Linked DNA regions of Rattus norvegicus. The protein of the gene in region 2 interacts with the protein of the main gene of each other region in a biochemical or structural test. Links are inferred from orthologs where the notes say so. Each region holds a gene or a part of one and is shown on either strand. Other genes may lie near its edges.

The links. The genes of interacting proteins can lie anywhere in the genome.
Region 1: the proteins of Arfip2 (region 2) and Arf5 form a complex in vitro, tested with the Homo sapiens proteins (2 studies listed by BioGRID). The link is inferred for Rattus norvegicus from reciprocal best matches to the Homo sapiens genes ARFIP2 and ARF5.
Region 3: the proteins of Arfip2 (region 2) and Arf6 form a complex in vitro, tested with the Homo sapiens proteins (2 studies listed by BioGRID). The link is inferred for Rattus norvegicus from reciprocal best matches to the Homo sapiens genes ARFIP2 and ARF6.

What each region holds. Positions count from the first base shown.
Region 1 is NC_086022.1:58,002,590-58,007,246, reverse strand, and holds Arf5 (ADP-ribosylation factor 5), read right to left. Parts: upstream 3,277-4,657; 5' UTR 3,183-3,276; coding exon 3,116-3,182; intron 2,594-3,115; coding exon 2,513-2,593; intron 2,146-2,512; coding exon 2,036-2,145; intron 1,685-2,035; coding exon 1,613-1,684; intron 1,095-1,612; coding exon 969-1,094; coding exon of another isoform or gene 857-968; coding exon 770-856; 3' UTR 350-769; downstream 1-349.
Region 2 is NC_086019.1:169,388,890-169,393,878, forward strand, and holds the start of Arfip2 (arfaptin-2), read right to left. Parts: upstream 3,278-4,989; 5' UTR 3,182-3,277; intron 2,419-3,181; 5' UTR 2,377-2,418; coding exon 2,278-2,376; intron 2,064-2,277; coding exon 1,967-2,063; intron 1,291-1,966; coding exon 1,172-1,290; intron 1,001-1,171; coding exon 779-1,000; coding exon of another isoform or gene 614-778; exon of another isoform or gene 612-613; intron 246-611; coding exon 88-245; intron 1-87. Other genes in the region: Timm10b (mitochondrial import inner membrane translocase subunit Tim10 B), read left to right, coding at 3,487-3,516, 3,659-3,754, 3,924-4,100. UniProt on the Homo sapiens protein: Plays a role in constitutive metalloproteinase (MMP) secretion from the trans Golgi network. May have important functions during vesicle biogenesis at certain cargo subdomains, which could be predominantly utilized by secreted MMPs, such as MMP7 and MMP2.
Region 3 is NC_086024.1:93,588,299-93,591,901, reverse strand, and holds Arf6 (ADP-ribosylation factor 6), read right to left. Parts: upstream 2,126-3,603; 5' UTR 1,974-2,125; coding exon 1,446-1,973; 3' UTR 977-1,445; downstream 1-976. UniProt on the Homo sapiens protein: GTP-binding protein involved in protein trafficking that regulates endocytic recycling and cytoskeleton remodeling. GTP-bound form plays an important role in the transport of multiple palmitoylated proteins form the Golgi to the plasma membrane.

The DNA.
Region 1 (4,657 bases), on a different chromosome or scaffold from region 2:
TGTGTGTCTTGGGGGACCTATCTTTTTAATGTCCATTTCTCCTCCATGTACAAAGCTATGATAAGTACAAACATTAAGTATGATATGTAAGTAGTAGCTAGGTAAGAGATAGGGAACAGACTGTGGTTTTTGGAATGAGAAAGGTATTCATACCCTTAATCAACCATCCTGGAATTGAGGAAGAAATGGAATTTTTTCCCCAGCTAGAAGCACTACAGGGGAAGCTGAGGAAGAAAGGGCAGTGCATATTGCCTTCTGGGCTTCAGCTGCTCTCAGTCTCTCCCATATTATCTTTCTGTGCCCACAGTAACTCAGCTTCCCAACTTCCAGGCGATAGACAACACCGGGTACAAACCACAGCAAATTTATTACTCAATATCCAGTCCCACATCATAGCACCACCCGGAGCCCTCACTTTCCTCCCCCCAAACCTGGCCCCAAGGGTACACCCAAAACAGAAAAAAACCAAAAAAACCAAAACCAAAACGAAATTAAATCCAGATCCCTGCTCCTCCCCTGGAAGAGGGGGCCTTGGCCAGGAAGCCCTTCCACAGGTCCCAGCAGGCAGGAGAGCAGAACCCTCTGTGCCCAGAGAGCAAGGCTCCAGGCTCCAACAACAAGAGAGAGCATGCAGGCAGGCACAGGAGCAGAGGCCTGTCTGTGGGGAGGAAAAGTGGGAAGGAAGGGCACTGCCTGAGGAGTCCGGGAGTCTGGCCATCCCGGGATGCACGCGGGAGCTTCCGGGCAGCAGGGGCCTGCCCCTGGCTGGCTAGCGCTTTGATAGCTCATGGGACAGCCAGTCCAGACCATCATACAGGCCTGTGCCTTGGGTGGCACAGGTGGCCTGGACGTACCACTGTAGGAAGAAAGAGAAGGAAATCAGCCTCAGGGAAGGAAAGGGATTCCCCTGTCCAGTCGGGCTCCCCAGGAAAGCCTGGAGCCCAGTGCCAAAGGGACATGATCCTTACCGTGCGGCTACGCAAGTGTTGAAGCCCCAGCTTGTCAGTCAGTTCGCTCACAGGCATGGCATTGGGCATGTCCTGCTTGTTGGCAAACACCAACAGCACCGCATCCCGAAGCTCATCCTCCTGCAGCTGAGGGGAGGAGGGGGAGATGGGGACCTGTGCTTGCAAGGCTCCCTAGGCTCCCTGCTGACTGCACTGTTGGGGAGAGCACCCCTTTCAAACTTCCAGATTCTTTGTAGGAAAAATACAGTGTACTGTGTAGTTCACCACTGAACACAAGACAGTTATAAACGAGCTCAACACCTTTCAACTTTACCTCAAGGAAAAAAAAACAATCCTATTTTAAGAGCTTGTTCTAAACAAAAAAATGACAAAAATGACAACAGAAAACAACAAACAAAACAAGTAATGTATGATGTTGTTTCTCTGTAGCATAGATAACCTCTCTCTCTTTCTCCCAACCCCTTAGGCTCAGATGGGAAAGGATTTAAAAAGAAAAAAAAAGGGTCTTGTCTACTGGATGAGCTAATACTTATCTGGTACCACGAAGGAAAACTTCCTGCCCTTAGTGTCCTGGACTTCCAGACTACCCCAGAGGCCTCCCTGTCTGAAAGCCAAGGGCCCAGTTCCCAGAGCTGGGTATTTACCATCTTCTGGAGTTCATCAGCAGACTCCTGGACCCGCTCCCGGTCATTGCTGTCCACCACAAAGATGAGGCCCTGGGTGGGAAGGAAGGAAGCAGAAGGGATCACTCCTACCTAGGTCCCATCCTTACCTGGCCTGGTCTCACTTCTTCCTTCTTGAGTTGTATCAGCCCTTCTCATCTGGCAAATGTACAGTAAGGGTTTGCAGGGACCACTGAGGGAGCCAGCTAAAAGATGTGTAGTTGAGATCTACGGTAGACGGCGTGGCCTTAGAACTTCTGCTTCCCAGACTAAGATGGGGGTGAGTTCTTAAGCTTAGCAAAGGTGAGAGTGATGACAGTCAAGGGAGCAGCCAGCAACTCAGTCCTGGTCTAACACCCACTCCCAGGGACTGCCTCCCCCCGCCACCTTCCAACCCAACTCCACCTGAGTGTTCTGGAAGTAGTGCCGCCACAAAGGCCGAATCTTATCCTGGCCTCCGACATCCCAGACTGTGAAACAGATGTTCTTATATTCCACTGTTTCCACATTGAAGCCTGCAGAATTTTTTTTTTTTTTTTTTTTTTTTTTGGAGGGGAGAGAAGGAAAAAAAAAAAAAAAAGGTCCTGAAAGGAACTCATTAAAACCACTCGGATCTCTTCAAAGCACATAAACCCAGATGACAATGACCACCAAGGCCAAGGGGAATTGAATCCAGAGGATCGGAGGTCAACAGATATGCTAGGCTCATGGTCCACGCCTCAGGCACCATCAGGCGCTTAGAGATATGGTGACCCATTTCTCAAGTAGCTGTATCTGGTGTCAGGGTCAGGAACAGATAAGGGCCTCGGCAGAAGTGGGAGCAGACCCCGACAAGGCCCAAAGCGACATTCCTGCGGCCCCCTGCCTTGTTCCCGGACTCACCTATGGTGGGGATGGTGGTGACAATCTCCCCCAACTTCAGTTTGTACAGGATGGTAGTCTTGCCAGCCGCATCCAAGCCAACTGCAACGGAGAGAGGGGCAAAGAATGGAGACGGGAGCGAGAGAGCCCCCTAGAGACCAGGGAAAGGGAGAGGCCTGGCCAGCTGATGGTGATGGGGGCGGAGAGCGGGAGCGCCTCCAGGTGCGCGCTGTTCTCCACCTTCCGGGCCTTGAGGGCAGTCTAGGTGGCGAGTGCCAACTCCTGCCCCTCAAGTGCCCGAGGGGCGACAGGGGCTAGGGAGGTAGGGGACCCGGGAGGAAGGCCGCGTTCCTTTGAAAAGTCGTTTCCAAGGGCGGAATCCTCTCTTCTTAGCAGCCGGGCTGGGGCGGAGGAAGCGTCACCCCACCCAGGCCCCAGCTCCGGGTTTCAGGCCCGGGGCCGACACTGCAGATCCTGGCTTGCTCGGGAGCGCGGCCTCAGAGGCTTGGGCGGTGGGGTGTCTCGGGGTCAGGGGACCAGGTGAGCGGGCTGGAGGGACGCGGGGGCGGGAGGGCTGCGGCGGGGCCGGCGCCCCAAGCGGGCCGCGCGCTCGATCTGCCTCACCCATAAGGATCCGCATCTGCTTCTTCCCGAAGATCCGCGAAAAGAGCGCGGACACCGTGAGGCCCATGGCGGGGCCCGGGGCGGGGGCGCGGGCAGGGGACGCGGGGCGAGGGCTGGAACCGGCCGGCCGCGGGGGGATGGGGCGCAACAGCAGAAGGAGGAGGCGCCGCCGCCGCCGCCACCTCCGCGCGTCCGGGTCCGCCCGACGTCACGTGGCCCCGCCCCTCCGGGTCCGCCCCAGCCCCGCCCCTAGGCGCGTTTGCGGAAGAACTGAAGTCGAGCGAGGCCTGGCAGCCTGCCTGGGGCGGAGGGCTTGTTCGGGGTCGCTAGTCTCCGCATGACTTTGCTTTACTCTTAAGTCATAGACTTGCACTCGTAAGACGGCTTTGATAGGGTCCACACGAACATGTAAAAGATCCTCAAAGTAGCATATTGTCTATTGTTTTGAAACACTATGTAGCCTTGGGTGGTCTGGAACTTGCTATGTAGACCAACCTGGTCACGAACTCACAGAGATGCGGCCGGCTTGGCCTCCTGAGCAGATTTTTATTACAGAAATATTTTCTTCAAACGCGTTCTCTCTCTCTCTCTCTCTCTCTCTCTCTCTCTCTCTCTTTCAGAGTGAGCCTCCTCACAGGCTTGGTATCTTCATAATATCACAGGAGTCTTCTTTGTTTTTAGCCCCTCCCCACTTTTATGTTGTGTTCGTGTGTGGAGGTGTGTAGAGCTCAGAGAACAACTTGTAGGGGTGTGTTCTCTCCTTCCACCGTGTGGGTCCTGGTGATAGAACTTAGGTCAGGTCACTGGGCCTGGTGAAAATCGTCTTTACTGCTGAACCATCTTAAAAACCCCACAGGAGTCTTGATGGAATGGACAAAAGCAAAGAGTCTTGATGGTGCCCTCCGGAGATGAAAATCTTTTAATGTCTTGTCACCCAAGATGAAATCTAAATGCCTTTAAGTTGGGTCCTACCCTTTGTTCCAGATTCATCAATAGCCACCCACCTCCCACACCATAAGCTTCCTGGGCAAGTCAGGCTCACTGATAGATACCTCAGAGGTTCCTGTAAACGTTTCCGCTTTTCTTGATGCTGGTTTCCCACATTTGCAGTTTGGCAGTCTTTACTCATTCCTCAAACTTCAAGTCATTTCCCCTAAGAGTCTCTGTCCTTCTGACAGGTGCCTCGCCTCTTTTATACCCTTCAACTATACCCTTACATACTATACTAGTGTGAGGGCAGCATCTACTTGTTTGCATGTCCTTGCTGTTAGGAGTTTCTCGGGACCAAGGCCATGTTTCTTCAATGGTGCCATCAGGCATAGCATTTAGTATGGTGAGAGGCAGACTGAGATAGGATTCCTAAACTTACTAGCTGAGTGACATTGGGCATGTTACCCCTCTGTACATTTACTGTATGTTCCAGTAAATGTAAATTGGTGCTAATGATACCCTCTGAACAGAATTTTGCAAAGACTAAATAGCAAAAACTCTTGTGAGACAGCCCCCACCCCAGCATATGCTGGTATGCAAGATGGACCTTAT
Region 2 (4,989 bases):
ATAATTCCTTTCCTCTCTGAATCTGTCTGCCCCTACTGTTTGCTTTTTGACCCATGCCAGCCAACTTCCCAAACCTTGGGCCCACACCTGGCAGCCTCATACTGTTTGACAGTCATGAGTGTGTCTTCCATGGTCTTGGTGACCAGCGTGTTGATGCTAGAGACAAAGAAGTTGACAGCCCCCAGCAGCGTCTCCCCATTCTTGCACAGCAGCTTTTGTGTCTCTGCATTATAGCCAAATTCCTCCTAAGGGCAGAAGGGAGGCGTAGGCATTGAGCAACAGTCCTTACCTGGCTGGAGCTGTAGAGCCCTTCATTTCCCTCCATCCCAAAGAAGAATCAGCCATCAAAACTACAACAACCAGACTGCCTCTAGCAAGGCTCTCTTAGCCACAAAGTTAGTAGGGTCGCCTTGGCGATGCCTGAGGTAAGAGTGTGGGGGTGGGAGGTCTTAGGTGAGTTTACAAGACAGGAACAGAGAAAGCTAGTGCAGCAGGCAGGGAGGGGGTCTGATTAGGCCAAGCACCAAAGGCATTCTGGATGACATGGAGACAGGTTACTTGTGGTGCGCCCTCTCCCACAACCCCTCCAACTTTTGGACCTCAGTACAAACCCTTAGGCTGCCTCCATAGGTGAGTGATGCTGGGGGCAGGACTGGGCGTACCCCAGAGGGGTTCTCCCTGGGGGCTGCAGGAGGGAGGGAGGGAGGGAGGCTGAGGGATGCCTGCCTGGAAGGACCAGGGCCCAGTACCCCCACCCTCTCTGTTTTGGCTGAGGCACCTGAAGCTCTGGGGACTTCTGGCTGAGGTCAGCAAAGGCATCACCTAGTGCATGCTGGGTCTGCAACAGGCTGTAGAGGTGGGCTGTCAGTGCCCGGCCCAGCTGCAGGACACTTTCATACTTGCGCTTCGTCTCACGCAGCAACTCAATCTGCAGCTCTAGCTCCAGATCCACAGTCCGGGAGCCTCGGCCAAATCTCTCTGATAACAGCTGCTTTGTGCACTGATTGGAATGGGGGTGGGGGGATGGAGGTCAGAAATCTAAACTCCACCCCACAAGGAACTACTCCAGCACCCCCATTCTCTTAGTCATAGCAAAGACTGTAGATTAAGACCCAGGGAAAGGGAAAAGGGCCCCATGGAGAGTTTCTGAGAAGAGGTGCTTGAATCTTACCTTATATGTGTTGATGCCCCATTTCTTGACAATGTCAAACTTTTCTCCAGCGATGCCTCGGGCCACCTCATCACCAGGGCCAGAAGGTGAGGTGCTGTGAGACGGATGGCGGCCAGACCCTAAAGGACCAAGTTCTCTGACACTAGTTTCTCTTAGATATAACCAGACACTTCTGTGGCCCACTTCCCTTCCAGCACATGAAATGACCTTGCTGAAGAAGGAAAATCTAGACAGACAACTGCATTCTTCTGCTTACTAGGGGGAACAAGGACTTGTGTCCTGACCACCAAACCAACTCAATGCATGTATCTGGCATTCTTGGGATAGGGTAAGAGTGTTGTTAGTGTACTCAAGAAGAAAGAATAGAAGCTATCGTGATATGTGTGATTGGCAGGATCAAAGATGGTGGGCACAGAAAACAAGGAAGTTGGCTGATATTTCTAGGTAGAATTCTAGTCAGTGTAACAGTCTAAAATGAAAGTCTGAGAAGCCTCACAAAGCTCCAACTTGGCCTTAAGCTCCTGAGTGCTCATAACCTCAAGGTCTTAACTTGGCTCAGGTGGTGGCGGCAGGGAGGAAAAGACAAATGAGATTATCTTAGAGACTAAGTGGCAGGGGGGAAGCAGATGGGCAACTCTGGAGCTGGTCTGGGACTGAACAGGCTATGAACTTCACACTAGCAGTTCTGAAGCTCTTCAGTCACGAGTCAAGCTTTACTGTATGTGTCCTATGTGCCGGCAAGCTGCCTTAACAGCCCCCATCCCCACCCCTCAAGCCTGTCTCTATCACTCATACCTGTGGGGATGAGTCCGTCACCAGAGCCCCCATAGCCACCAGACACAATGCTAGTTTCATTGAGGTTGGGTCCTGACACCATCACCTGCTGGAGGTCCTATAGGTCAGAGAAGAGGGGGCACCTCAGGAACACAGGGATAGATGAAACATTTGGGGATGGAGGCAGTGCACATAAAGTTTATACAGAACCATAAAGATTTGAAAACTAGGAAGGAGTTTAGTTAACTGAAGGCTATTGGGATGGGGGAAAGTAAAAGGTTTATAAGTCAGGACTGCATAATGAGACAATTAGAAGAATCAAACAGAAGCACCTGCTCCAGCCCATCGTCTTCAGGAAGCTGCCCAGCCTCGCCATTTCCGTGGATGGGAATCTCCATTGTGGCTGCCTTCCCTAGAATCCCGTCCGTCATGGCTAGGGAAGGGACAGGAGTCAAGGTCTCCACCCCAGCACGCTGTAAAGCCCAACAAGACAATTCTGGAAACTAGCCAGCACTCCAGAATAAGGAGGCCTCCCCTGTGTTCTCAGAGGTTTCAGGGATTGTCTTAGGGCTTGGGTGTCCTGGGATCAGCCACCACGTCTTTCCTTGAGTATGTGTATCCATTCTCTTCTGAGTACATTATTTCTACAAATGCATGCATACCAAAGCCTCTGGTGTCTTCTCGTAACCCCCAACCTCGCCTTTAGTAACCATTCATGCATTCAGTCATTCAACAAACATTTGGTGAGTTTCTACTATGTGTGAGATACCGAGGCAATGGAATTGCAGCAGTGAGGACCAGAGGGAAGGTCTATGCTCTCTGGGAACTTAACCCTGCATAAGCATGTTTACCAAAACTCTTTCCTAGGCTCAGACGTTCACTTGCCACTCAGGCATGCTCTGCGATCCTGATCTTTCACATCCTTTGGTGTTCCTTCCCCTCTTCCTTCAGATGGTCTGGTCTCTTCCTTTCTCCATCTCATGCACCTGACTCCCTCAGGCCCTCCCCACCAGGCCTTAGTTGAAGCAGTTAGTGAATGTTCCTGGTGTCAGGACACCAGGACACAGGCAATCCCTTCCAAAGTCAGTTGAAGCCTTCCAGATGTGAGAGGCACCCCCCACCCCCATACACCTGGGCATCAGGTGTGTCCTCATCCTTGCCAAGGGCTCAGGGCATGTTGCCCTCAGTACAGGTTCGTGCGTTCAACTTCCCTTCGTCCAAGTACGTCCTTCTCACCTGGGCCGGGCCGCTCTTCCCCTCAGGGCGCGAGGCCCGGACCGCGCGGGGACCTCGGGTTCCAGTTCCCGTCGCGATCCTAGCAGCAGGTCAGAGATTTGGCGGAAGTGACATGCTCTCTGGGCAGAAGAAGCCGGCCACGTCGCAGAGAAAAAGGGCGGAGGTGACGTTTACAGTTGTGGGCAGGGCGAGCCTGGAGCTACGCCTTCAAGCTCTTGGGGGAGTACCGAGAGTTTACTTCCGGGGCGACTCCGAGAGCCACCCCCTCCGGACGGAAGTGGCGTACGCCATGCGCCCTGGGCGTGATGGAGCACCAGCAGCAGCAACTGAGAAACGTGAGTGAGAGCTAAGTTGCTCTCTGGGTTAGACGCGCAGTTTGTTTCCAGGGGTACACGCAAGAACCCCCAGAGGGGGAGGCGGGCTGCGCGCCCCAGGAAGCCTCGGCGGTGGTGAAGTCTTGGTTCCTTTTTCTCTCAGTTGCGAGACTTTCTGTTGGTCTACAATCGGATGACAGAACTGTGCTTCCAGCGCTGTGTGCCCAGCCTGCACCACCGAGCTCTGGACGCTGAGGAGGTGGAGACTGTGGGGGGTCCCAGAGTTGACAATAACGTGATGTGACTTACCCCCTCCCCCCACTTCCCCTCTCTTTCATGACCTCATTCCTAGGCTGGGGACCGGGAAGGATGGAGGAGGGCTTGACAGGACCCCTTTTAGTTTCTACTTCCATCTGTCTTCCTTCCAGGAGGCCTGCCTGCACAGCTGTGCTGGGAAGCTCATCCATTCTAACCACCGCCTCATGGCCGCTTACGTGCACCTCATGCCCGCCCTGGTCCAGCGCCGCATGGCGGACTACGAGGCTGCCTCTGCCGTGCCAGGTGTTCCTGCAGAACAGCCCAGAGACTCGCCATCAGGCAGCTAGCTAGCTGTCCCTGACCGCAGGAGAGAAGGTGCTTGGATAGGCTCCTCTATGGACCTTGGGCTTGTCTAAATATGTACAGAGAGACTGAGCTTGAAAGCTGGGTGCTCTTGCTCCTTTTCTTGGAGCCAATAAACCCGTTTTTGTATTCTGGTTAATTTACTTGGCAAGAACTTTTCTTTATTGGTACCATCCTTTATTCTGTCATCTACTGCCTGTCTAGTGCCTTTAGCCTTGGCAGTTGATGTATTACCTTCTTGTATGTAGAAGGACAAATTTAGCATTCCCAGCACCCCAGCAAAAGCAAGGATTATGGCTACAGTTTGAAGGTTGGTAATAACAATGGGAAATTGGTTCCAAAAGGAGAGTTCTCTGTGCCTGTCCTAGGGTCTAACTCAAGTACCTGAATATACATTGGCTCTTAACTAGTTTTTATTCTCAGCTGTCAGACAAAAGAATTGCTGTAGATCTAGGGGAAGAAGGTAATATCAAACAACAAAAGCAGGAAGAAAACAGTGCCCCCTTAGGTTTTAGTCACTGCTTCCTAGGAGATCAGTGACAACAGAACAAAGACAAGCCTCTAAGAATTTAGGAATGTTGACCATTTCCCCAATTTACTCTCTTAGTATTTCCTGCTTTTGTGAAATTAGAAATAAAGACTTTAAACAAAGAAGGACTTTCTTGTCTTCAGTCAGTCAGGAAGACAACATTAGTCAAACCTCAAGAGAAACCTGAGGGAAAGGGAGATGGTATTAGGGAGAGATGGTTAAATACCATCTGTGACCCTCCACCCGGTGCTTCCTCAGTGTTTCACTGCCTGTCTAGTCCCCTAGTTTCAGTTCTCTACCTTCCAGTACTCTAACTACCCTGTTGCCAGCTTCTCTATTCTTGT
Region 3 (3,603 bases), on a different chromosome or scaffold from region 2:
GATGCTGCTTCACAATTCGGAATCATTAACATTTGGTTCAAAAAGTTACTATAGTGGTCTCAATCTAGTTACTGGTCCTAACCAGCTCAGCTTAAGACCTGGATATGACCAGACAGCACAATGCTTACCCTTAAAAGTTAATTTACATTCATTGTCATCTGTAGGTTCTTTCTCTGCCTACTTCCCCTTTGTCGTCCACATCTACACCATTCATTCAGCATATTTCCTTCCTTAAAGGAGATAGACTACTGAACCAACAGGATATCTGCATGAATAAACCTACAATCAAGCAAAACTAAATACCTTTTTAAAATAAAACATCTTTTCCAGTGTCTTAATGGAGATGTAAATCACTCATCTATTAAAAAAGTCTCGTATCTTCAGTCTAATCAGTTGCTGTAATGTGAAAACAGGAATGTGTTGGGTTTTTTTTTCCAGCTAGGTTAAAGGTGCATGTAATTTGGCTTTTTAAATATTTTATTAGTGAGCCAAGTAAATGTTTAGTAATTTTAAAACTACTGGTCTTAAGACAGTTCCAGTTTTGCCCAAAAGTCACTTTAAAGTATCTACAAATACTTCATCTGTGTGGCATACACCATTATTGCTCCACTTTCTGGAAAGAGCATTTTTATCCATAAGAGGGAATCAGCAAAGTTGCTAACTTTGCAGGGAGAAGGACCTGTACCCTTTACAGGCTCTGCTTGTTTTAGTCGGTAAAGTTAGCTATGGCAAAGGGGACTTGAGCCTTACTCCTACTCATGCACGTTAATGGCTGACTTCAAGGGATTCCTTACATTACCTATCTGACACACTGGTGTGCAACTGAACATTACACTGGTATTACTCATTTTGCCACTATGGGCTAAGTTCACCATACTGGTCTTGGCTATAAAAGGTCACATTTGAAACTGCTAAAGTTAGAGCTAACAAGGAAGGGAGGGAAGGCCTTAAATATAAAAGACAAACGGCAGTTTGATTAAGCAATAATTTTCAGTTTACTAGATGAAACAGACTTGGAACATAGTCTGCATGAATGCAAAATAAGCCATCTACAGCAAGTGATAAGAAACTGGGCAAAAAGGAAAAAGGCATACATGGGGGGAGATTCTCTCGAAATAAAAAAAAAAAATCAAAACCATTATTATAAAGGACTTTACCAAGAGTTGCTATTACCCCACCCCGTTTGCTGGAAGTCACAAGAGCATATAGCACTGTATTCGTGTCAAATGTCAGATCAGAGCATCCTAACGCAAAGCCGAAAGGAAATAGAAGAGGGGGGGTAAGGGGAACAAAGAAAACCCCCAACCCCACTAAACGGTAGAACAGTAACTCGAGTTCAGTTTCAAAAAAGAGAGTGGCAATTGAAAGAGGTGATGATGGTGGCGATAATCCTATGAATGGGTTTTTGATTTCTCTCCTTCCGGGGGCTGGGTGGAGGGCGCTCATTAGGATTTGTAGTTAGAGGTTAACCATGTGAGCCCCTCATAGAGTCCGTCCCCGGAGGTGGCACAGGAGGGCTGCACATACCAGTTCCTGTCCCGAATCCGGGTCAGGCCCAGTTTCTCCTGGATCTCATGGGGTTTCATGGCATCAGGCAGGTCCTGCTTGTTGGCGAAGATGAGGATTATGGCGTCCCTCATCTCCCGGTCATTGATAATGCGGTGCAGCTCCTGGCGGGCCTCATCGATGCGGTCGCGGTCGGCGCAGTCTACCACGAAGATCAGACCCTGGGTCCCGGTGTAGTAATGCCGCCAGAGCGGCCGGATCTTGTCCTGGCCGCCCACATCCCACACGTTGAACTTGACGTTTTTGTAAGTCACCGTCTCCACGTTGAAACCCACCGTGGGAATGGTGGTCACAGACTGGCCCAGCTTCAACTTGTACAGGATCGTTGTCTTGCCGGCTGCGTCCAGGCCCAGCATGAGGATCCGCATTTCCTTGTTCCCGAAGATCTTGGATAGCACCTTCCCCATCGCGTCGGAAGAGCCGGGGCCGGGGGCATTCAGGTGTCCCGGGTCCCCTCAGCCTACAACGCCGCCGCCGCTGCGAGCCCGAAAAGTAGCCGCCCCGCCGCGAGGACGCCCTGCGGCCCGGCTTGCGCGAAGCTGCCTGCTAGGGGCAGGGGCCCGGCCTGCGCTCACTCGGGCATCGCCCGCCGCCGGGGCCCTGCGTCTGCGCCGGGAGAGCCGCCGCCCTGCTGAGGCGAGGCGCGGCCGGCCCGGAACTGCCCTTCCCCCCGCAGGCGCCGCGCGAGCGCCGCCGACAGCTCCTCCGCCGCCTCAGCACGCGGCAGGTCAAACTGCGGCCCTCCCGCCGGCCTGCGAGCACCGGGCTCCGCACCAACCCTGGTCACCCGACGAAGAGCGCGGCTCTGCGCCCCGTCAGGTCATGGATCCTCGCGGGAACTCGGTGCTACCTGCAGAGACACAGAGAGGGAGAAGGGAGTTACCGCCGGGACTCCGACGGTGCTGAGACCGACCCGGCCCGCCTTTCGGGCTCGGCCCTTGAGATTACCTCCAGCCGCCGCCCCAAGCGCGGGTTCCCTCCGGCCTCCACCTCCTCCTCCCCAGTTCTGCTGCCGCCGCTGCCGGAAAAGGCGCCGAGGAAACCGCCTCACTTCCCCTCCCGACTGCGCACGCGCACCTCAGCCCGACCGTTCGGAAGAGCGCGACCTCTGAAAGGAGAGTGGCCCGCGCGCCTAGCGTCACGAGCGCCACGCGCCGGGGGTGGGGCTACGGCGGCTCGGGGGGCTCACGCGGACGCCTTGCGGAACCTGCTGGAGCGGGGCTGGCCGTACGCCCACCTGTCGCTCTCCCAGGGTCTCCGCTGTTTTCCCTTCTCCGCCACTGGAAGGCGGGGCAAAAATCCACTGGGTGTTCAACGCCCCCACCCAGGCTTCCCAGGTTTGCTCCCGGACACCCTGCGCAAAGTTCCTCCCGCTCGCCCCAGCCTTCCGCACCCGGGTCTCCTTTTTACTCCGACGCCTCCCGACTTCCTTCTGTTTCCTGAAAGACACGTGGGAGGCCAGTGTTCCATAGAATCCGCCAAAGTCGCCCGCACTTTTACTCGTGTTGGGTTTGCCCCTAAGCCCTGCCTGTGAAAGTTTAAACTTGTCCTCTTTGTAAGTCTGAACCACCCGCACTTCTTAGGAAATAGACTTTCAGGACCGACGAGATGGCTGTGTGCGTGAAGCCTGCCGCCGAGAGGGCGGACCCGTGTTCAGTCCCCAGAACCCGTATGGTGGAAGGAGAGAACCAACTCCCTCAAATTGACTTCAGATCTCCACGCACCATAAGGAAACTATTTGAGTTTTGTTTTTATTTTCAAATACTTTTTTCATTTAGTGTGCGTGTGCACAGAGAGGTCAGAAGACAACTTGCCAGAGCCAGTTCCTCATATGGGTCTAAGGTATCAAACTCAAGTCATCAAGCTTGGCGGCCAGCACTTTTACGTACTACCTTCTTGCTGGCTGAGAAAACATTTTTGTATTAAGTGACTAGTGTTAAGTAAGGTTAAAGTAAAGTGAAATTTTAAATGTAAATAAGGGCAAAAATAAACACGAAGGAAAAAAACTGAAAAGTTCAAGGAAGTTACTACGACAGC